3 linked regions of the Diceros bicornis minor genome follow. The protein of the gene in region 2 interacts with the protein of the main gene of each other region in a pairwise test. Links are inferred from orthologs where the notes say so. Each region holds a gene or a part of one and is shown on either strand. Other genes may lie near its edges. The genes, in order: GCSH, NMI and MTMR9.

Region 1 (7,349 bases), on a different chromosome or scaffold from region 2:
GGAAGAAAGACTGACCAAAGTCCAAGAGATGTGAAAAAAATATTGAGGATTTAATGTTAAAAGAATTTGCTTTAAAGAATAAATAATTTTTTAAAAAGCATATGCTATCATCTTATATATATATATCACATTCTGAAGCAAAGTATTTTTCCAAAAATAATGAATCAAGTTAATAGGAAAATGGTTCCTTAATTCCAATACTGTTTTAATGTATTTTTTTTTAATTCCCCCCCCCCCTCCCGCAAAGCCCCAGTAGATAGCTGTATGTCATAGTTGCACATCCTTCCAGCTGCTGCATGTGGGGTGTGGCCCCAGCATGGCTGGAGAAGCGGCACGTCTGTGCGCGCCAGGGACCCGAACCGGGGCCGCCAGCAGCGGAGCGCACGCACCCAACCGCCAAGCCACGGGGCCAGCCCTCCAATACTGTTTTAAAGTAAGCCTTGCTAGTTCGCTCTTACCCATTACCCAAAAGATAGTTGTACTTAAAACAGCATCAAACTGCTTTGATTACACAGCTCTGCTACATAGCACAATGTAAATAAAGAGTATGACTTAGTACTTTTTTCCTCCCAATCACTAAAAATCTTTCTTAATTTTATACTCGCTTCAGGTCAATCTGATCTTTCCCTAAGAAAGGTTTAAGGTTTGTACTTGGTGTTCTGACTGCAACACTCTCCCAACTGTTTTTTCTTGACTATTTCAGAACTCAACTTAGAAGCTCTTTCCTGCCAGAAGCCTTGTATAGCCCTCCAAGCCTGGGTTCCTGGGCCATCCAACATGCTCCCACAGCACTGTGCACCGCTCTCCTCCCACCCTGACCCCCACCACACACATACTCACAGCACTTAACATGCTACAGACACAGGCTATTTTTCAGTTTCCCCCAGGAAGTAAACTGTAAATACAAAGCAAGCAAGAGCAGGGTTGATCTCTTTTGTATTCCCAGTTCTCAACACAGTGCTTGGCATACAGGAAGCACTCAAAAGTTGGAGTAAAGTAATTTTTTAAAGTAAAGGGGATTCTGAGCAAAATATCTAATATATATAGTTATTTGGCTACAACATTCAATTCTCCCTATGATTCTCTTACAACTCTAGAACTGGCAGTTTGATAAGCCTTTTTAAATAAGCGCTGGACAACTATAAATACATGACTTCTCTGAGACTACTGTCCTGATTTTGGCCTTGCCATCTTGCTTAATTGTAAAGATAATCTTAGGAGTAAGACTGCTCTCACGTTCAGTTTAGCAACTGAGCAATCACTAGTTTAGAGGAAAAGGCAGCAACATTACTAAGCTAAATGCTCCTAGGTCCACTTCACTTCAAAGTCTAAGTCTTTTTACTAGGCCATGCTATTTAGGCTAAAGACAATGATTAGGACAATTCTCCTTTAACCCTTGGCCCAACAGGAAAAGAGTAGACAGGAGATTAGGTAAATAATTACTTTCTTACTGAGCCTTGAAAAACATGGTTTTTGGCCTCAGAAAATTAGGCATTTTGAGTAATTCATGAAAAGTTTGCATGTTCCTCTTTTCAGAGTCATCAGATAAAATATATTAATATTGGTCAATATTTTGCTGTTTGATTCTGTACACTAATATTTAATAACAAGTAACATTTATCGAGTGCTACATGTCAGGCTGTATGTACAGCAGTTACATTATTTCACTTGATCCTGCCGATAACTCCGTGAGGTCCTTAGGTCCGGATTATCATTTCCATTTTCCTGATGAGGAAAATAGACTCAGAGAAATTAAGTGACTCCGCCCAAGATCACACAGCTCACAAGTGGTGGAACTAAAATTGGAACTGAGGCCTCTGTTATTAAAAACCTAGGTGTTCAATCAGATCATGGGTATTGATATTTTGGGCAATATTTAACTAGGAAACTGGAAAATACAAAAAGCTAGCGATAGTGTAACACTGAATAACAAAAAAACATAGACTTGAAATTCAATTCTTATCTGAGAAATGCCTTTTTCCCTGATTTTCAGATGGGTAATGTATTGATATGTGGCACCGACAGAGCTGAGGGATTACATTAGCAAGGAGGAGGATAAACATCTTTATGTTTCAGACTTTGGAATAAATAAGCTTATCAACTCTTCCAGTCCCAAACATGTTTCTAAAACAGTGAGCTTAATGAGACAACAGCCATCACAGACCTACGCTCCCTAAGTAAGAAGCCTGAGATTTTGGAAGCGCAGTTGGTGTCTCGAGCACTTGCGCACTAAGTAAGAAAACTGTGTTCCCGCTGCGATAACTGTGCTAAAGCAGCAGAGATGGCCACATTTATGGGCAGGTCTCGCAGTTATCCAAGTCCGTTAAGTTAGGCCTCATTTCAGCACCAACACACGTCCATGACTCAATATCGACCTGAGCAAAACGTCTCTGTGAAGAATGCAGAAGACTCTGTTTCCCTGTATCTAGGAAACAGCCGAGTCTTCCAAGTTAGGCTCGCTTTGGCTAGGAAGACACTAGCCGCAGTGCTTTGCTTTCAGTAACTGCTCTTGCTTGACTCCTACTCCCGAGTTCTCAGTGATGGTCCGGGCAGCAAGCTAAAGCCTATTATCTGTCTCCACTCTCAGGGTCCAGATGCTCACACGCGCGAGGTAACCGAAGGTTACGAAGGCGCTTGGGGACGCCTGCCCGGTCCCCCGGCGCCGCGGGAACCGGCGCGGACACGGCGGCCGCGCGCCCAGGCCTCCTCCCCGCCCCCGTCGGGCGCCCAGCCCGCAGGACAAAGGCTGCGCGTCGTCCGCGCGGCGCAGGGACGGCAGCAGCGACGCGCAACTCGGCACCCCAGCAAGAAGAGGCGTGCGCAGGGGTCGCCTCGCCTGACCGGGGACGGTCGGCAGCGGGAGGCGAGGCGGGGAGCGGGGCGCCCACCCCTTCCCCCGGGCGGCCCGGCTCGCCCCACGTGCCCGCCCGCGCTTACCCGAGAGCAGAGCGGGGCCCGTGCGCAGCGTCCGGACGGCGCCTGCCCTCAGCCCCCAGAGCCGCGGCGGGCAGGGCAGAGGGGGGGCCCAGGCGGCGCGCAGGCTGCAGGCCGCGGCCCGCGCACTCCGCGCCGCTCGCAGCGCCATGTTCGCAGAGGTGCGGGGGTCGCGCTGCAGCGCCACAGGCGCCCCGGCCGGCGGGGGCGGGGGCGGGGCCCGGGACGGTCCCGGGCTGGAGCGAGCCGGAGCCAGCCGGCTGGTCCCGGGCGCGGGGGCGGGGCCTGGTGGCGCGGGGCGCGGAGGGGCGGGGACTCCAGGCCGGGCGCGGCCTCTGATAGGGCGGCGCGCGGGGGGCTGGGACACTAGTAAGTGCCGGAGGCCCGGAAGGGGCGGTGGGCGAGGGGCGGGGACTAGTGCGGCAGGCAGGGGCCGGGCTGGGTCGTCCTGCAGAGGGGCGGGGCGGGGCCTCCCCGAGATGGGCGTGGCCTAGCCTCTGGGCGTCGTTTCCGGGCGAATGAAGCGGTGGGTCGGTATCTCCCGGCTCCTCGACCCCCCCGGGGAGGGCGCGGGGGGCGCCGGGGACGGTGAGCAGCGCTGTGGGCCGGGTTGGCTCTGCCTGGCTAGTGCATTCCCGTGCCACTGGGCCCTGGGGTCCTCGGGAAGGCGAGGTGCTCCCAGTCTTGTTAAAGGGTATGGTCCCGCCCTTCTGCGGAGCATGAAGGTCACCCAGAGCGGGATTCATAGCCAGGTGCAAACAGAATCATTCCAGCCGAGGATGGTTGTTGGCCATTGGCCAAAGGTGCGCTGACGCAAATGCAGTTTCTCTTTGACTTTTCGAAATGTTGAAAACAATCTAGGAACCCACTTTATTCCTTTACAGATCCTGAAAGGCCTAGGGTCCCCAAACAGAGGTCAGACAGAATCACCAAGCTCATGGAGCGGCAAGGACTTGTCTAAGGGTCGGGGGTGGCCTCTTGGTAGAGACTGGACTGGAGCCAGTGAGCTCATGCAGGAGCAATCAAAAGGCAGGGAGTTGAGACCCAGCATGGTCGGTTCCTTGCTTAAGCAGCCGGCCTGCCCAAGGCCTTCTGAGAAATGTGCAAGACATGTCCCTGTCCAAGGAGACAGAAAATCATTCAGTTCCTGGAGGGACCTCACCTTCTACACAAATTTTATGGAGTGGGTGTGAATCAGCAAAGAAACACTGGAGTGAAAAACACCTCAAGCTCTACACCTTCCATATTACAGGGTGGGCACCTTGAAGAGTGTGTGTTTGTATGTGTGTTCGGGAGGCCCATTTGTTGTTGCACTGAGCTTCTGCCTCACTTAAAAAATTGAGATTTCAGCACATCTGTGCAGTGGCCTGCAAGGGCTGTCACGCTCCATTTTCCTCTGAGTAAGTAATGGTCGTTTATTGAGCCCTTGCTATGTGCCTGGGACTAGGTAAACATTATCTTTCTAATCCTCTCCAAACCCCTTTCTGGTAGGTATCACACTCATTTCATAGAAGAGGAGCTGGAGGCTCAGAAAGGTTGACTAACTTGCCCAGGAGGGGAACGGGAAGGCATTTTATAGCTTAAGCAGCTACTAGGTGGTAGTAGCAGGACTTGACCTCCATTCTGATGTGCAATCAGCTGCTCTTAAGCACTGTCCTACTTTCCTCCGTTTGGGATGCTGACTGGCTCATGGTGGTCTGCTCTAAACTTGAGATCTTGGCTGGCATCTATAATGTCAGCATTCTGTTTTTATTGTTTTGTTACAAGCCAGTGCTGCATAATGCAAGCTATGCCCTGAAATATTTATTCCCAGCTCCACTAACTCATTGGGTGGGAAGAACAAGATGACATGTCAATGTGTGGGCTACATCACAGGCCCTTCCACCACAACAATAGGAAGTGTGTCTTTTTTTGTTTTTCTTGTCTAACAAACATTGAGGATAATAATAAAATTATTTTTTTCAATTGGTGATCTTTGTGACATCCATGGCTTGAGATTTGAAAAGTCATCTCATTGCACATTTGGTACAGGCATCTGAAAATTGAAAGTGGTCATTTCTTTCAGGTGTCTCAGAAGGGCCCTCCCATGTCTTTGAGCAGATGTATTTTTTTTTTCTCTCATAACAGTACTGTCGAAGGAGTTGCCAGTTTGATGTTTACAGACAACAGAGAAATGGAGAGTAGATGGGCAAGATGAGAAAGAGAAAGGAAGAACTTACAACTTCTCCAGATCTTAGAACTTGTCCTACTTAAAACAAACTGACTGTATCTATCTGGTTTAGGTTTCTGTACCAGTTTATCAGAAGATGTGTATACCTTGCTATGGGTTATTTGATGAGCATCTCTGCATATATAGCTCATGGTCATACCTGACGTGATAAAGAATGGATGATGGGCTTTTGAGTGAATAGAAGATGATGCAATCCCCTAGGTTTTATGTATATTGCATGTTATGTAGCTCTCTGTTTATAAAGGATCCTGGGTTTTGATTGTCAGGATAGTGGGGTAGGATCCTGATTTCACCATCATAAAAAAATTTAAGGTCTCAATCAGATGAATGGCTGGCAGTAGTTCAGCTCCAGGGTTGATTAACTCAGCTGTGTAAAGACCTTATCAAGCACGCGTGTTCCTCTTGTCTTTCTACTCTGCCATCTTCAGATTGTTGCCTGTGGTCTCGAGGTAACTGCCAAAATTCCAGGACCAGACAATGTCCAGCAGCATAAGAGCCTGTCTCTATGTGTCTCTTTTTATTAGTAAGCAGACCTTTCCCAGAAGTGTCCTAGAGACCTCTTCTCATTTTTTGTTGGCCAGACTGGGTCATATGGCCACCCTAAAGCACTCACTGTCAAGGGAAATGGATTACCACTACTAAGACAAGGATTTACCTTGAAGTGGCTACAGGGTCAGCTTCCCATGAGTCATGTGGGGGAGGGGTAGGTGGCTATCTGAACCAGTCGGGATTCTGATAGCAAGGAGGAGAGAGTGTGTGATGGATTTGGGGCAGGCACCTAGAATATCTGCTACCGTGGTGTGTGAAGTAGTGTGAGGAGGAGGGATAAGACAGGGTGACCTGCAGAGGAAATGTGAGGGGTTTGCCCTTGTGGGAGATCAAGATTTGGCCACCCTGAAATATATCTCTTTACCTTGATTGTTTTCTCTGAAGGACATTTGACCTCCGCCACTAACTGCCTAAAGAATTTGACATGGTGGCTCCTTCCTGGAACAGATCTTCTATCATGATGGCTGTAAAGATAATGTAGGATAGAGGTTACAATAGGAAAGGCACCAAGCCTCTTTTATCAAAAAACTTTGTCTCTCCCTGACCACATTATCTATAGATGACCCTGAAAAGAATTGTCCTCCTGCCCTCTGAAGTCCCAGGCCACTACCCACCCCCAACACATTCCTCGCCTTTAGCTGCAATACTTAAGCAAGCAGCTTAGACAGAGGGACGAGTTGCTCATTTCTGAGTTTCTCCCATGTATACATGTTGTTAAACTTGGTATTATTTTCTCCTGCTAACCTGTCTTGTTGATTATTTGGCCAGCCAGAAGAACCTTAAGGGAAAGGGCAGAGGGAGATTCTCCCTCTTCCCCCGACACCCTGCATGGGGGACAGGAAATGTGCACTTATCCACACAGACACCTGGAAGCTTTTTGTTATCTAGATCTCTCTAAATTCTCAGAATTTAGAGCATGGTTATCAAATCTGACTGCACGTTGGAATCGCCTGGAGGGCTTAAAAAATACTGATGCCTGGGTCCCAGCCTGGAGATTCTGATGTATTGGGATGAAGTTTGGGGGTTCCAGCATGCAGCCAAGGTTGAAAACCCCTGGTGTAGATCAGCAATTCTCAGAACATCGTCTAAGGAACACTAGCCCTGACTGAGGTGCTGCGGTACAGGATGCCGTGGTCAAAGAGGTTTGGGGTTCATTACACACTTTCTCTCTCATGCTCTTCTCAGCCCAGGAGACTCACAGTGCACAGTTAGTATATTAAAAGCCCTGACAATTCCCATGCTGAAGACCTTGTGTAACCATTTATAATCCAGTGTTTCCTACATTCATTTGATCCAGAAACATTTTTGGGGGATGACACCTGTTATGGGTTGAATTGTGTCCCCTAAAGAGATACGTTGAAGTCCTGACCCCTAGTACCTCAGAATGTGACTGAATTTGGAAATAGCATTGTTGCAGATGTAATTAATTAGGATGAGGTCATAATGGAGTAGGGTGAGCCGTTAATCCAGTATGACTAATGTCCTTACAAGAAGAGGAAAAGGGACACAGAGACAGACATACTGGGGAGAAGGCCATGTGATGACAGAGGCAGAGACTAGAGTGATGCATCGTCTACAAGCCAAGGAAAGCCAAGGATGCTAGCAAATGCTAGAAACTAGAAGAGAGGATTCCTCT
Region 2 (7,289 bases):
GAAAGTATAAAACGAGCATCTTATGGTGTCAGAAAGCAAGAAAGTGCTCAAAGAATGATGAGAACATGTCAAAAAGACAGAAAATCCAGCTTGAGGAAGTTCTCACTGGACAAATCTGAGAATAAATTAATCATAAAAATAAATAATGACAGTAATAATTAAATCCACTGAGTAAAATAGAAAACTATGAGTCCATACTGACATACATACAGACATATATAAATTGAAATTTTGGTGGGGAAAGGACCATTTAGTTAGTCTCAGAATCCTTCCTCACAAAATATTTATTAATTTCAAAGGGGAAATGTGTAACTTCACAGTGAAGAAGCCAGGCAGATGCCACCAGAATAAAATAATCAAAGTAAATAATGAGATAAATCATCTGCCATCTGATAGGCTGCACTGAGAACAAAGCATGACTTCTATGATATTCCTGCCAAAGATACATAATCTAAATCTAAGCATGAGGAAACGTTAGACAAACTGGCTTGTTCTCTTCAAAAGTGTCAAGTTCAAAAAAGCCAAGGAAAGACTGAGAAACTGTTCTAGGCAGAAGGAGATGAAAGAGACATCACAACTAAATGCAATGCATGATTCTGAACTGTGTCCTTTTGTTACACAAGATATTATTGGGACAACTGGCAAAATTTGAATTGGATCCAAGGATTAGATGGCAGCAATGTGTCAATATTAATTTCCTGATTTTGATCACTGTATTGTGGTTATACAAAGAATACCTTTTTTGTAGGAAACGTATACTCAAGAATTTGGAAACTTACAGGAAAAAGAAAGGTTGTTTGTATCGTACTTGCAACTTTTCTGTAAGTTTGAGATGGTTTCAAAACATATATATTAGTAGCTCCCTATTACATCAACAACTGCAGAATCCTTATGACGGCCTCCAACATTCATCCAAGGTCTTACACAATCTAACTCCAATTTATTTTCTAGTCTTTCTTAGACAACTCCTAGACTAAGTCTCCTAACCACACTGAACACTCGAAGGGTCCCTCTTCTCCCTTTTGTCCCTCAATATGTCTCATCCTTCCACCCCTCCCAACCTTAATTTCCACCTAATGAAATCCTACTGTTCTTCAAGGTCCATCCCAAATTTCTGCCAAGTTCTTGAAGCCTTTTCTGATTCCCCCAAGGGACATTAGTTCTCCCTCTTTTACCTCTTTTGGGGAGCTTTACTTATTTGTGTACCTGTGTCATTTTCCATGATTAGACGGTCACGACCTTGAGGCCAGGGACCACGTCTACTCCTCCTTGCATCCATTTAGAGCACAATACGAGCTTACACATTGAAAATACTCAATATTTAGAGAATCGTGCAGTATCTTGACTCAGGTAGTTGTTCTGCTCAGGACATCCACGCATATGAAGTTCTCTTATCACATTTCCAGAAAGCAAAAACTGCAACATTATTTAATTGCTTTTTTTAAAGTCAATATTCTTAAGAGCTTGTAATAAAGGCTCTCAATATATTTAACTCTTATAAATGGTCTACTACATGACACCCCCAGAACTTTTTGCAACATATTTAGTATCTCAATACTGTCCTCTCTTTGCATCAGCGGGATGTACAGTAATAGGCTTCCTTTTATGCAATCAGATCGTAGGCAGAATAACAACCCTCCCAAAGATGCCCACATCCTAATCCCCAGAATCTGTGAGTATGTTAGGTTACACTGCAAAAGAGAATTAACGTTGCTAATCAGCTGACTTCAAAATATGGAGATCATCCTGAATTTTCCATGGGCCCAATGTAATCACCAGGGTCCTTAAAAGTGAACGAGGAAGGCAGAAGAGCAGAGTCAGAGTGAGATGTGACAACATAATAATCGTCAGATGGCACGCTGCTGGCTTTGAAGATTGAAAAAGGGTACCACTGAGCCAAGGAAGGTGGGCATCCTGTAGAAGTTGGAAATGGCAGGAAAACAGATTTACTCCAGTAGCCACCAGAAAGGAAGGCAGCCCTGCAGACACCTTATTTTAGCCCAGTGAGACCCAGGTCAGATTTCTAACCTGCAGATTTTTAAGATAATAACTTTGTGGTTTTTAAGCCACTAAATCCGTGATAATTTGTTATGGTAGTGAATGAAAAAACCAATACAAATCACCACCATCTATCCACCACCTGTTTTCCTACTATACTCATATCACTGCGGTGGCAGGCCTGATAGAATCCAATCTTCCCATATCTGGCAGCAAAAAGAAAGGAAACGAGGGGAAGGAAGGCAGGAGGTGGTAATTAATAAAATAGTGATAAACATATATAGTTTTAAAAAAACTTATGCATGTTATACAGACAGGGAAACATGGTGTTCTCCTTTGGATGTCTCTTTCAAGAAAAACCCTGAATATTCTGAAACGTGAGGAAAGACTGCCAAACCCTGCGCCTGCCAAGGAGAGTAAATCTCAAGGCATCAGTTTTCCTAAGAACTATCTCGGGAGACACTAGAAGAACGTTGAGGAAACACAGTGGTTTTAAGTTTCAGTTTCCAGAATGAAGCAAAGCACACCAAGGAGACGGGGTCAGAGGCCTGGCCGGCACCCAGAAGGCACCGTGGGCGCAGGGGCAGGCGCGCCCTCTCGGCAGCTTGTCGCCACAGCGACCCAGGCTGCGGGGGGTGGGGCGCGGGGGCGCGGGGGGCGCAGAGCCGCCTTCTGCGCGCGGTCCCTGGCGCCGCGGAATGCGCCTCGCTCCCGACCCAGGGCCTCGGTAGCCCGGGGCTACCAGGAGCAGGGACGGCAGCCGGGGAACCGGGAGCCCCACTCACCTGCCTCGGCCCGTCGAGCGCCGCAACGCGGGGCCCAGCGCGCCCGCCTTTCCGGGAAACCTCGGGGGTCGGCGCCGGATGTCCCAGGTCCCCGAGGCTGGTGCTGCCTTATCCAGAAGCGCCTCGGGAGATCCGAGGTGCCGTTGCAAGTGGGTGTCACTCGGATTAACAGCTTGTTCCTTAAAAAAAAAAAAAGAAGAAGAAGAAAAGGAAAAGAAAACTGTGCTCAAGTAGTGGTTAGTGAAAAAACTAACCACCGCTCGGAATAGCAAACCTGGTGTCTCCAGTAACTGGTTAAACACTAACAAGTTATAACCATTTTCACTTTCGATTTCTAAAAATTGCTTGTTTTGTTTTTGTTTTGGGGGAATCTATCCCAAAAGTTTTCCTGAAGTGTCCATAAACACTAATTTCAGGACATGTCTTAAAAAACACTCTTGTGTGTGTGTGTATATTACTGGACATACGGTTGGAAAAGTGGACTGAAACAAAATAACGTCAAAGCAGGCGTCTCTCCCCAGATTGTAACTCTCATTGTAATTTATTGTCTTTATAACCTTAATCTACAAATTTTTACAACCAGCACAAGATCAGCTCGTCTGTGTGTCTTTTGCAGCGTCCTCTGGGCCATGAGGTTGGGAAAGCTGTGGTGTTCAGTTGGTTTCTATGACCCACGTCCCTTGAAAATTGTCTTACAATCTTTTGTTTTGTTGTGAAGCTTGTAAATAAATGCTTCACTAGGTGTGATCTTTTCCTTTGAAAATAAAAACGTCTGGCTTATTTCAAGAACTGCAGTGTCTCTTAATTCTACACCAAGAACCACCCCACAGCTGTACTTGCTGGTAAATAGAGGTCAGGAAGGAGATGCATCAAAATGATTTCTAGTGTATAATGCTATATACTCATATGTAATAACCGATATAGCAGTCTAAAATGACAGATTAACAAAAGCCAAATTCCTTTAGATCAAGAATAGTGATAGGAATCAGTTAAAAGTGAATTAAGTGAAAAAAATCAAGTGGTGCGTGATAAGGGCTTTTGTGCTCATCAGCTCAGTTTGAAAGTACAAAAACTTCATCTGTCACAAGTTGAGAATTAATGTCGTTCTACCTTAGAAATTTAGAGAGCATGAAATTGAGAGGTTATTTAGTTCAACCTCATTTCTTCTTTGATCTTGTTTTTGTTTTTTATAAGAAGATACTAAGGAGCAGGACCATGGCCAGAACAGAGCTGATCTGATATTGACTCAGATCCTGTGAAAGGGCAAAGGATACAGGTAGTAGCGAAGCCTTTTTGGCTACCAACATGCTAAAGCCAAGCCATGTGTAACAATACGAATTCAACTCAGCTTCAAATCTAGTATTCTGCAAAGTGCTGGAGTTCTAAAGATGAATAGTCAGTTCCTGGACATATTAGTAACAATTTTAATTGCTAACATCTACTGAGAACTCCTGGGCATTTAATATCCTTTTTATTTTGCCAACAACAGTATGAGGTATAGGTATTCTTCCCATTTTGCAGATGAGGAAACTAAGCATTAAAGAGGTGACCCCAAATCAAGCAATTAATATGTAATGACTTTGATGTCATACTCTACTCTCAACCATAAAATCAGTGTCTCCACACTGTGTTTTATGGTGTTTAAAGATGAAGGAATTCTACGGCCAACTATGATTAGGTTATGCTGCATACTTAATTCACTTTTGGAGAGTCACAATGCACAATAGCACATTAAGAATTTTGAGAAGCAGGGCCGGCCCGTGGCTTAGTGGTTAAGTGCGCGAGCTCCGCTACTGGCGGCCTGGGTTTGGATCCTAGCGTGCTTGTCCAGACGTGCTGAGGCCTCGTCCCCACATACAGCAACTAGAAGGATGTGCAACTATGACATACAACTATCTACCGGGGCTTTGGGGAGAAAAAGGGAAGGAAAAAAAGGAGGAGAGTTGGCAATAGATGTTAGCTCAGAGCTGGTCTTCCTCAGCAAAAAGAGAAGGATTGGCATGGATGTTAGCTCAGGGCTGATCTTCCTCACAAAAAAAAAAGAAAAAAAAAAGAATTTTGAGAAGTATTGCAGGAAAAATTAAAGCACACATGAAAAAGTTTAACTTTATTCAACCTTGAATTTATTGAACTAATTTGACCACTAAATCCTTTTGTTCAAGGAGCAGCTATTAAAATCTTGAAGAGTTTCTAATGGGGTAATTTTACTAATGATGGGGTCCAGGACATGCTACCCTCAAATGTGGCACCTTGGCATATTGAATAGTTTAAGCTGAAGAAGTTTGAGAAAACAGAAGCAAGAAGGTCACTCTGACCTTTCCCTCCCTCCCACCATCCTTCTCTGAAACAGGTCATAAAACCCTCGTGTGAGAGGTGCCCTCTCTATACCTGGAGGAAAGGAGCATCCTTATTTCTGAAGACAAAGGGATGCCGAGACGAATCCTAACAAACAGGCCTTGCTGAGTCTCCCCCAGTTTACTGCACTTACCTCATGCTCCTTGACGCATCATATTCCTCCATGACTGCCCACTCTTCATCAAACCCAGCATAAAAATAGTCAGATTTAACTGTTTCTTCTGGTCTTTGTTTCCTTATGAAGACTCTCGTGTCATATAAAACTTATATTAATCTGTATGCTTTTCTTCTGTAAATCTATCTTTGTCGGTTTAATTTTCAGACCCAGCCAGGAACCCTAAGAGGGTAGAGGAAAACTTTTTCTTTCCGCACACTAAATTATACCATGTCTTAATATTAAAGTTATTATTTATTGAGTGTCTATAATGCACTCAATAAATATTATGTCACATATGAGATGCCTTGGACAGCTCATGTAAATCTATACCGCAATGATATGAGATGTATGTTATGTTACACATTTATCTCTCCACCAAATGGTAATGAACTCCTCCCAGATTCCCTATAAATTCACACACACAGACCAGTGTTACATACAGTGCAGTGTGTGCTATGAAGAGGTAGGATACCAGGCATAGCAAAACACAAAGAAGGGGCCAGCCCCGTGATATAGTGGTTAAGTTCGTGCACTCTGCTTGGGTGGCCCGGGATTTGCAGGTTCAGATCCTGGGCATGGACTTGCATGCTGTTCATCAAGCCATGCTGTAGCAATGTCCCATATACAAAACAGAGGAAGATTGCCACAGATGTTAGCTCAGGGACAATCTTCCTCACCAGAAAAAAAAACAAAAAAAATCATAAAGGAGAAAGTAGTCCCCTCAATCTCAGGAGATCAAGAGACGTTTCTTCCACAGAAGAGGTGAAAATTAAGTGGATTCTTCAAATTAGATGAGGTGGGCTGAGACAAAATTTCAAGTGAAAAATCCCAGAGGCATGAAACAGCTTCGGAGCCACCACAAGTTTGGTGGGTATGCAAACCAGGAGAAAACCATCTGATATCCTTTATATTGTGCTCTTGTTTTTAGAAAAGGTCTTATACACCAAGCTTTTGCTACTGTTGCCAAGATTTTGGTGATCCAGTTTGCATTTCATTCTTGGGGAAGCTGAAACACTTAGAACGTGCCCAGCATTGTGCAAGACCCTGGGGGACACCAGGAAATTATGTAACATCATCTAGTTTTCCAGAGGTTTGCAACTGGAAAATGTAAAAGTAAAGGAATGTTGCTAAGAGAGTAAATCTTAATGTTCTCATAGCAAAAAAGGAAATGGTAATTATGTGACGTGATGGGGGTATTAGCTAATGTTGTGGTGGTAATTATTTTTGCAATATATAAGTGTATCAAACCAACACTATTTTACAATATGTAAATATATTAAATCAACACTATTTTGCAATATATGTGTATTAAATCAACACCATTTTGCAATATATAAATGTATCAAATCAATATGTTGTATACTTTAAACTCACACAACGTTATATGTCAATTATATCTCAACCTCAATTATATCTCAACAAAGCTGGAAAAAAATAAATAAAATAGTAGACAACTGATTAAAAAAAAAAGGAAAGTAAAATAAGTACCCCATCCCTTACTCTGTCAGGCATGCAGTGCTATACAGTTAAGAGCATGGTTTTGATCTCAGATGTGGGTTTCAATACTAATTTCAAGTTACTGAAGTTTCCCTGCCTCAGTTTTCTCATCTGTGAAATGAGGCTGTTGTGAGTGAGATACTACTACATGTCAACTGCTAAGTGCAGTGCCTTAGCCATTGGTAAGTCTCAATAAATGGAAGCTGTTACCCATTGGTGAGAATTTTTTTTTCCTGCACATTTCTTCTGCTTTATCTTCCTACCTGGAGAAGTACTTTTAAGGCAAAGATCATTTTTTATTTCTTTCCTGTCATCTACAGTTACTAGTACAGTGACTATATCTAGTACTTGCTATATACTCATTTCTAAGTAGTGGTTAGATACAAGAGTAAGAGTCAAATACTCTGGGCCCAATGTTATAACCCCTTTGTATAAGCTTTCATATTAGTGAGTATGAATAAGTTTGTATAAGTGAATAAAATATTGTGATAGATCAA
Region 3 (7,624 bases), on a different chromosome or scaffold from region 2:
TCTCATCAAAACGCTGCTATAAACATCTGCAAGACTAGCTAAAGTCACTCAGATTGGGGCAGGGGGAGGAGAGGTCAGGGTGGAATATGTTAAGTAAAATACAGGGAATCTGTTCACAAATATACACAGTGTCTATGAGGTATAGGCACTAAAGTAGATGCTGGGCCTACTGCAACAAAGAATGGTCCTTGCTGTCAAGGAGCTTATTGTCCAGTGGAACGTTATGGACACAGAAAGAGTCTATTTCAATACAGTTTATTAAGAGGTAAAATCAGAGAGAGTAACCAAGGTGGGCTCAGGTCTCATGGGTGGCAATGTAGCACGGTGGCGAAGAGCACAGAGTCTGCGCCCGACTGCTTGGGTCTGCATTCTGATTTCATCACTTATTGCTGTCTGACCATGGAAAAGTTATTAAGAGCTCTATGCCTCAGTTTCCTCATCAGTAAAAGAAGAATCATAACCAACATTAGAGAATTGTAGAAGGGCTACATGAGTCAATACATGTAAGGCATTTAGCACAACATCTGAACACAGAGTAAACACTCAAAAATATGATATATATATATGATATATGCTATATGTATCACATTTTTTTTTAAAGATTTTATTTATTTATTTTATTTCCCCCCAAAGCCCCAGTAGATAGTTTTGTGTCATAGCTGCACATCCTTCTAGTTGCTGCATGTGGGACGCGGCCTCAGCATGGCCGGAAAAGCGGTGCGTCGGTGCACGCCCGGGATCCGAACCCGGGCGGCCAGCAGCAGAGTGCAAGCACTTAACCGCTAAGCCACGGGGCCGGCCCTGTATCACATTTATATATTATATATATCACATAAAATGTGATATATATGTGTGTATACATATATACATATCATGTGGACTCCGTGGTTTTGAAGCCAATATAATGTGGAGCACATAGTTTTGAAGGGAAATCAAGGAAGGCTTCCTAGAGGCAGTGACATAGAGATGAGATCTGAAGGATGATAGGAATTAGCAGGTCAAGGGACAAGGTATTAGGAATGAGGTGAGTATATAATAGGCAGAAGGAACACCGAGATTCTTTAAAGCAGTGCTATCTCAAACTTTCATGTGCATAAAAATCATCTAGGAATCTTGTTAAAGGGCAGATTCTGATTCAGTAGCTATGGAGTGGAACATTTCTAACAAAGTTCCCAAGGAATGCTGATGATGCTGGTCCCTGCCCTACTCTTCCACTTGGTAAAAAGGTTCTGAGTGCAAAACCTCAAAAGGAAACTGTGAGCTATTTAAGAACAGTTGGCGTGAAAATCACAAGGAATGGGTTTATGTGGGCTGTTGCGCTGGGTAGGGAGGGAGGAGGAGAGATAAGATCTGCAATGCTGATCACTGCCTAAGGGGCTAAATCACAAAGGGACTTATAAGTTAAGAAAAGAAAAACAGAAACTTGGAACAGCAAATAGGGCTTTAGCTGCCAAGTGGAAAGATGGGTTGGAAGGGAACCCCACTAGAAGACAGGGAACCAACTGAGAGGCTTTTCCTGTTAAGTAACAGAACGTGAGAAACGATGGTGGCCTGAACTACGGCAGTGGCCTTGGGAATGGAGAGAAGCGGTGGAATTCAAGAGCTATTAGAAGATACAATCAACAATTTGGTGATTGATTTGCTTGGGGGATGAAGGGGATAGAGAACACAAGAAAGACATGCATGAGGTTATCAGGTTCGTTTCAAGTGCCTACAGTCCACGTATAATTACAAAGCACATGGAGAATAGCTGCTCATCAATGGCACACAGGCAGCGTCTTCTCCATTTTAGATGCTCCTTCTACTTTTGGCAATTTTTGACCTGCTTTCTTCAAACTACCTTCAAACTGCCTCAATTTCTACTAACTACTCAAGGCCTAGTAGAGAAACACAAAACTAGGCAAGTAAATCTGTACTCCAAAATTTAGCACTTACTCTCTTATTTTGTTCATTAGTTGTGTGGGTGTGTCGGCCTTCCCAAATGAGCTATTACTTTTGGAGGGCAAGGGCTGTGTCAAATCTGTTGTTTCCATTTCCCACAGTGCTGATGAACAAGTCAGCACTTAATACATGCTGGCTGACTATTTGACAGAATAACTTCTAGAAGATTACCTATCAATGCTGTTTATTATCTCACAAAAGATGATAAAAATAATAATATTTGTAAGGTGTTGAGTGCTTTATATGAATTATAAATGCCATCACCTTCTTTGGTTTATCAGAATCCTCTGAGACCTTTACATCCAGGGAATTTGGATAATGACTTTGACTAAAGCTTCATTGAATCATGTCAACGGAATGGAAGCCTATCCCATTACCTCGAACTCTACTGCCATCTACTGCTCATGTAGTAAGTTAACATATTGTGGTCCCCACTCCCTCCATTCTTGACTATTGAATCTTCGTTTTCTTGAGATCTCAATGGCTTTCTATGCTGAGCTTCAACCTAGAGTAGATGTAATTTTCTGAAAGTTTACCGTGTTCCGTTATAACAACCCAGCATGATATTGATAATTTCTCTCGTGGGCAAAAAGTTTATGTCTTTACAGAACATTAAACATTTTAAATTTAATGACACAATAGTCCTTTCATAGGCTTTTTTTTTCTTCTGGAAATCTAAAAGAAAAAAGTCATGAAATTTCTGAAGAATTTTTCCTTAGCTCTGGTAGATATCATTAAACTTGACATCTATCTTGGTTACACTCCCACTTAGGGTGTAAATCCTACTCATCCTTCAATGTCCTCCTTTCAAATGATACCTTTTCTGTAAAACTTTCCCTGATTCTTCATTCTGGAAGTAAATTCTCCCTTCCACAACTGGTAATTGTTATAATGAACCACATAGTGGAAGGACAACAAAAATTCCAATTAAAAAAATAGCTTTATAAGTTATTTCCCCTCATTCTCGCTTCTCTGTTGGTTCCTGTTTTTCTTTTGCAGACAAATAAAATAAAACGAGACTCAGGTGTAACAATCTTATAAACCGTTTTGTTTTAAGAAGAGAACATTTGGGGCCAGCATGGGGGTGTAGCTGTTAAGTCCTCCTGACCCGCTTCATCAGCCCCGGGTTCCCCCAGTTCCCATCCTGGGCACTGACCTGCACACTGCTCATCAAGCCACGCTTAGGCAGCATCCCACACAGAGCAACCAGAACCATGTACAACTATGACATACAAGTATCTACCGGGGCTTTGGGGAGAAAGAAGGGAAAACAAGGAGGAAGATTGGCAACAGATGTTGGCTCAGGGCCAATCTTCCTCAAAACAAAAAAAGAGAAGACGACCAGAACATTTTAGGAAGGGCAAGGACAAAAGCAAGGACATGTGTTGGGTGATGATGAGATTTGAGGCAATTTATTTTGTCTTTGCTGTGAGACTTTTGCCAACTCGCTGTTCTTAGGTACTAGATGGTGAGGATTTCAAAGGTTAATGAAGTGACAGCAGACTGGGACTCAAACCCTTATATATTTCCCCCCTAATTCCCTATCTTAGAATGAAAATGACAGTTTAAGGGGAGAACGGCACCAAGCAAGGAAAACTAATTTGAGTAAACTTCTGGCATAATCTAGGTGTCTGGGAGTAGTTCAGTCGGGTTGTATTTCATGGGGAGGCTGTGCGGTGGTGACCAATGCCCCAACGCCTTGGATTTCATAGATCTAGATGGAAGTCCGGCCTTTGCTACAGACTAACTGCGCTTTAGCAAGTCGCTTGAGCTTCCTCCCAGGACAGGATTAGTCACTTCCCCTTCTGTGCACTGTACGTACGTCTACCTAGGTGCCTCTCACGGGTGTCTGTTCCCCTCCGTCTGGGTCAAGGTCACAGCACCCCGGCGCGGCGCTCTCTGGGAGTCCGCGGCGCCCGCCCCGTGACCCGCCCTTACCCCTGGCGGCTTCTCTGGAGTCAGTCACCGATTCGGTCCCACCCTTGCCATCTCTTCACGGCGAATGGGTGAAAATCGCTGCAATTTACGGCAGCCCCACCCTCAAGAGAGCCCTTGGAGGGATGACTACTCGAGTGGAGGGAGGCAGGTCAGCGACCTCTTCTCGTCACCCCATCGTCCCCGGCCTTTTACGAACAGTATTTGGAGGGGGTGGAGGTGCAGCGGTGGGCGTGAAGGCCAGAAAGAACTTTTTCCTGGTAGGAACACAAATCTTCGATTCTCGCTGTTTCCGGAAGCATTCTTATGGGACCTAGGCGGGGACCGACTTCCGGCTCTGACTTCCCCGTCCTCCAGGTTTCGAGCTCCGCCGCTTCCGCCCGGAGTTGCTCTAGGCTCCGGCTGCGAGCAGCTCCTTCCGTCAGGAGTCCCTAGCGGCTCGGACTTGGAAACTGGCCCTAAAGCGGCCTCCTCCGTCTCCCCTCGGCCTGTCCGCCGGAGGCCGGGTCCCCAGGAGACGGCGGCTGCGGCTGGGCCTGTGGCGGAGCGTTCTCTCTGGCCGAGCCCCGGGCCTAGAGGGAGCGGGAGCTGCGGGGGAAACGCCCCGGCCTGGCCCAGCCCCAGCGCGGGCTTCCCGCGGCCAGTGACCGTGGCCACAGGCCTCGCCGCGCCCACTCCGGCCTGGGGCGGGGCCCGGCCTCCCCGCCCCTCCGGCCAGCCCAGCGCCGGGTCCTTCTCCGCCTCAGCCCCGCGGCGGTGTAACCGCCTAGCACGCACGCCACCCGGCAGTGCCCCGGCTCCGGCTGCTGGGGAACATGGAGTTTGCGGAGCTGATTAGGACCCCACGGGTGGACAATGTGGTGCTGCACCGGCCTTTCTATCCCGCCGTCGAGGGGACCTTGTGTCTGACTGGCCACCACCTGATCCTGTCCTCCCGGCAGGACAACACGGAGGAGCTGTGGCTCCTCCATTCAAACATCGACGCCATCGACAAGCGGTGAGTCCCGTCCCACCTTCTCTTCCGCGGGAGCCTGGGTTCCCGGGTGGACCCAGCGCCCAGCCAGCCCGCAGAACGAGCCCTCTGTGGCCTGGGTTGAGGATTTGAGTTTTAGAAAGCAGAAAACCATCCAAATGAGATACCCGGTTTCCATGAAGTCTGGATGGAATTCCCAGGGTTATCACATGTTTATTGTCCTCGCGATTCTCATTTTTGGTACATACACCATTTGTGTGGATTTTTAACGTTTTCTTTTTAAATTTCTTCTTGCACCATTACATTCCTTGAATATTAATCGTCTATCACAGTTCATGAAGTTGTGATTGAATGTGATTTAGGTAAAGTCTTTACTGGCCACTTTTGAGGAAAACTCAAAGAACTCAGATGTAGTGTCTAAATTCCACAGAACCTTCCCCCCCCTCAAAATTCTTCAGTTTATCATATTTCTCCTAATTCTTACTTTCTGGGTCATCAGTTTAGTAGTTCCCACTATGGGAGATTATAATATCTTTTATGTATTTATCTTTACTCAGTTCTGCTTTTGGAAAGAACAGAGTTGGCTCTTAAGCAAAGGTATTAATTAATTAACTTTTTTTCCATGCACCCTAGACTCTGTCTTTCTAAGGTAGTGTCTCAGAGTCAAAAAGTTATATTTCCATCTGCGGTCAAAATTCCCATTTCCCCAATAGCTCTGTGTACTTAGTCTAGCCAGGAGAAGATAAATAGATTATCCAATTTATACTAAAGTATAAATGAATGACAACAGCTTTTCTATTATCTTTCAGGAGAATTTGAATATAAAGAAGATTCCTAGAGAGGTTATGTGTTAACAGAAAAAAATTTCCAATGGTAGAATTTGAAACAGTAAGAGTGAAGTGGTGATAGATTTATTTTTCCGAGCAGAGGGCTCCTACTACAGTCTTCTTCAGGTCACCTTCTCCTTTGTAAAAGTTTTCAGTGGTCTCTCCTTGCCTGCATAATAAAGTCTTAAACCCCTTAGTCTGTCATTCATGGCAAGCCATGTTTTGGCTCTAAGCTATGTTTCCTACCTTAGTTCTTGCCATTCATTTTCATGAACCCTTTTCACTAGCCAGTCCTCACTCTTTATTTTGCTCATGCATATGCTGCATTCTCTCATGTCTGTATTTTACCGACACGCTTCCTTCTGCCTGGAATGCCTTGCTCCTCCCAAGCTTGTTAAACATTTATTGAATGTCGTTATGGTCCAGACATTTTGTGAGGCATTAAGGACACCAAGATGAATGAAATATAGTTCTTGTCTTTCAGGAGTTGATAGGCTACCATCCAACTGTTACCCATCTATCAATATTCAGTTTAACCATTTCAACTGCCAGCTCTTTCACACATTCTTCTGTTAATCCCACAACCAGAAGTAATTTCCCTCACCTTGGAATCCTGTAGCTCTTTAATTATACCTCTTTCATAGGTGTATATTAAAATTTGTATTTTGATAGTTGCATGTATGTTAGCTCCTTGAAGCAAGGACTTGCATTTGGTTAATTTTTATTTCCTTCAAAACTCCTCTGACTTGGGTGGATAGGCACATTGGAAATAAACAAAGAATTGACCACTGAATGGTCATTGGTGGCATAGAATACAAATTAGAGTTTCTCCATGCCATCAACTCTCTTGCTTATTTAACTTTTTTTGTGGTTGCTCTTCACTCTTTCATTTCATCATATTTACCTAGCATTTACTACATGGTGGGCCTGGTAGGGCTTAAAGAAGTATATAAGACATGGACCTTTTTTTTTGTGTGTGAGGAAGACCAGCCCTGAGCTAACATCTGTGCTAATCCTCCTCTTTTTGCTGAGGAAGACCAGCCCTGAGCTAACATCTATTGCCAATCCTCCTTTTTTTCCCCCAAAGCCCCAGTAGATAGTTGTATGTCATAGTTGCACACCCTTCTAGTTGCTGTATGTGGGGCGCGGCCTCAGCATGGCCGGAGAAGCCGTGCGTCGGTGCGCGCCCGGGATCCGAACACGGGCCGCCAGTAGCGGAGCGCGCGCACTTAACCGCTAAGCCACGGGACGGCCCAGACATAGACCTTTTTAATCTGCTAGAGGGGAAATGACAAACTGTGCACACGTTTATCTTTTTCCTGGGAAGCAGCATGATGTAATGGAAAGAGCATGAGCTAGGTGGTCAGATCAGAGTTTGTTTAATTGTTGCTTTCAAGAAATATTTACTTCCATGTGTCTTGTAGGTGCTGAGCACTGTCTTGGCTCTGCAGATGCAGTGGTGACTAAGACAGACTAGGAGCTTATGTATTAGTGGGGGAGATGAACATTCAAGTTAATCAACAAATAAATATATAACAATGTCAGGTAATAAGTGCCAGGAAGGAAAATAAAGGAAGATGAGAGGATAGAGAATGCCAGGAGGCAGTGTATTTACAAAGAATTTCAGAGAAGACAAGTGACATTTGAATGAATGACATCCAAATGAAGGGAGGAAGCTAGCAGTGTGAATACTGGAGGAAAGAGCATTCCAGCCAGAGGCAACTGGGAATACAAAGACCTGAGACAGGAACTTATCTGGCATGTACCAGGAAGAACCAAGACTCCAGTGGCTGGAGGCCAGTGAGCAAGGAGTAGAGGCTAGGAGGATGGCAGAAACTGGTTGGAGGGGTAAACAGGGGCCAGATCCTGTAGGACCTTACATGCTGTTGTGATGGTTTTCATGGGGAGCCCTTGGAGAGTTGAAAGCAAGGAAGTAGCAGCTGATAGA

The links.
Region 1: the proteins of NMI (region 2) and GCSH interact in binary tests that used the Homo sapiens proteins (3 or more experiments, as listed by UniProt). The two-hybrid records come from large-scale screens. The link is inferred for Diceros bicornis minor from reciprocal best matches to the Homo sapiens genes NMI and GCSH.
Region 3: the proteins of NMI (region 2) and MTMR9 interact in binary tests that used the Homo sapiens proteins (3 or more experiments, as listed by UniProt). The two-hybrid records come from large-scale screens. The link is inferred for Diceros bicornis minor from reciprocal best matches to the Homo sapiens genes NMI and MTMR9.

The regions. Positions count from the first base shown.
Region 1 is NC_080771.1:30,615,565-30,622,913, forward strand, and holds the start of GCSH (glycine cleavage system H protein, mitochondrial), read right to left. Parts: upstream 3,101-7,349; 5' UTR 3,086-3,100; coding exon 2,938-3,085; intron 1-2,937. UniProt on the Homo sapiens protein: The glycine cleavage system catalyzes the degradation of glycine. The H protein (GCSH) shuttles the methylamine group of glycine from the P protein (GLDC) to the T protein (GCST).
Region 2 is NC_080749.1:35,229,330-35,236,618, forward strand, and holds the start of NMI (N-myc-interactor), read right to left. Parts: upstream 3,051-7,289; 5' UTR 2,784-3,050; intron 1-2,783. UniProt on the Homo sapiens protein: Acts as a signaling pathway regulator involved in innate immune system response.
Region 3 is NC_080750.1:62,993,936-63,001,559, reverse strand, and holds the start of MTMR9 (myotubularin-related protein 9), read left to right. Parts: upstream 1-4,605; 5' UTR 4,606-4,691; coding exon 4,692-4,873; intron 4,874-7,624. UniProt on the Homo sapiens protein: Acts as an adapter for myotubularin-related phosphatases. Increases lipid phosphatase MTMR6 catalytic activity, specifically towards phosphatidylinositol 3,5-bisphosphate and MTMR6 binding affinity for phosphorylated phosphatidylinositols.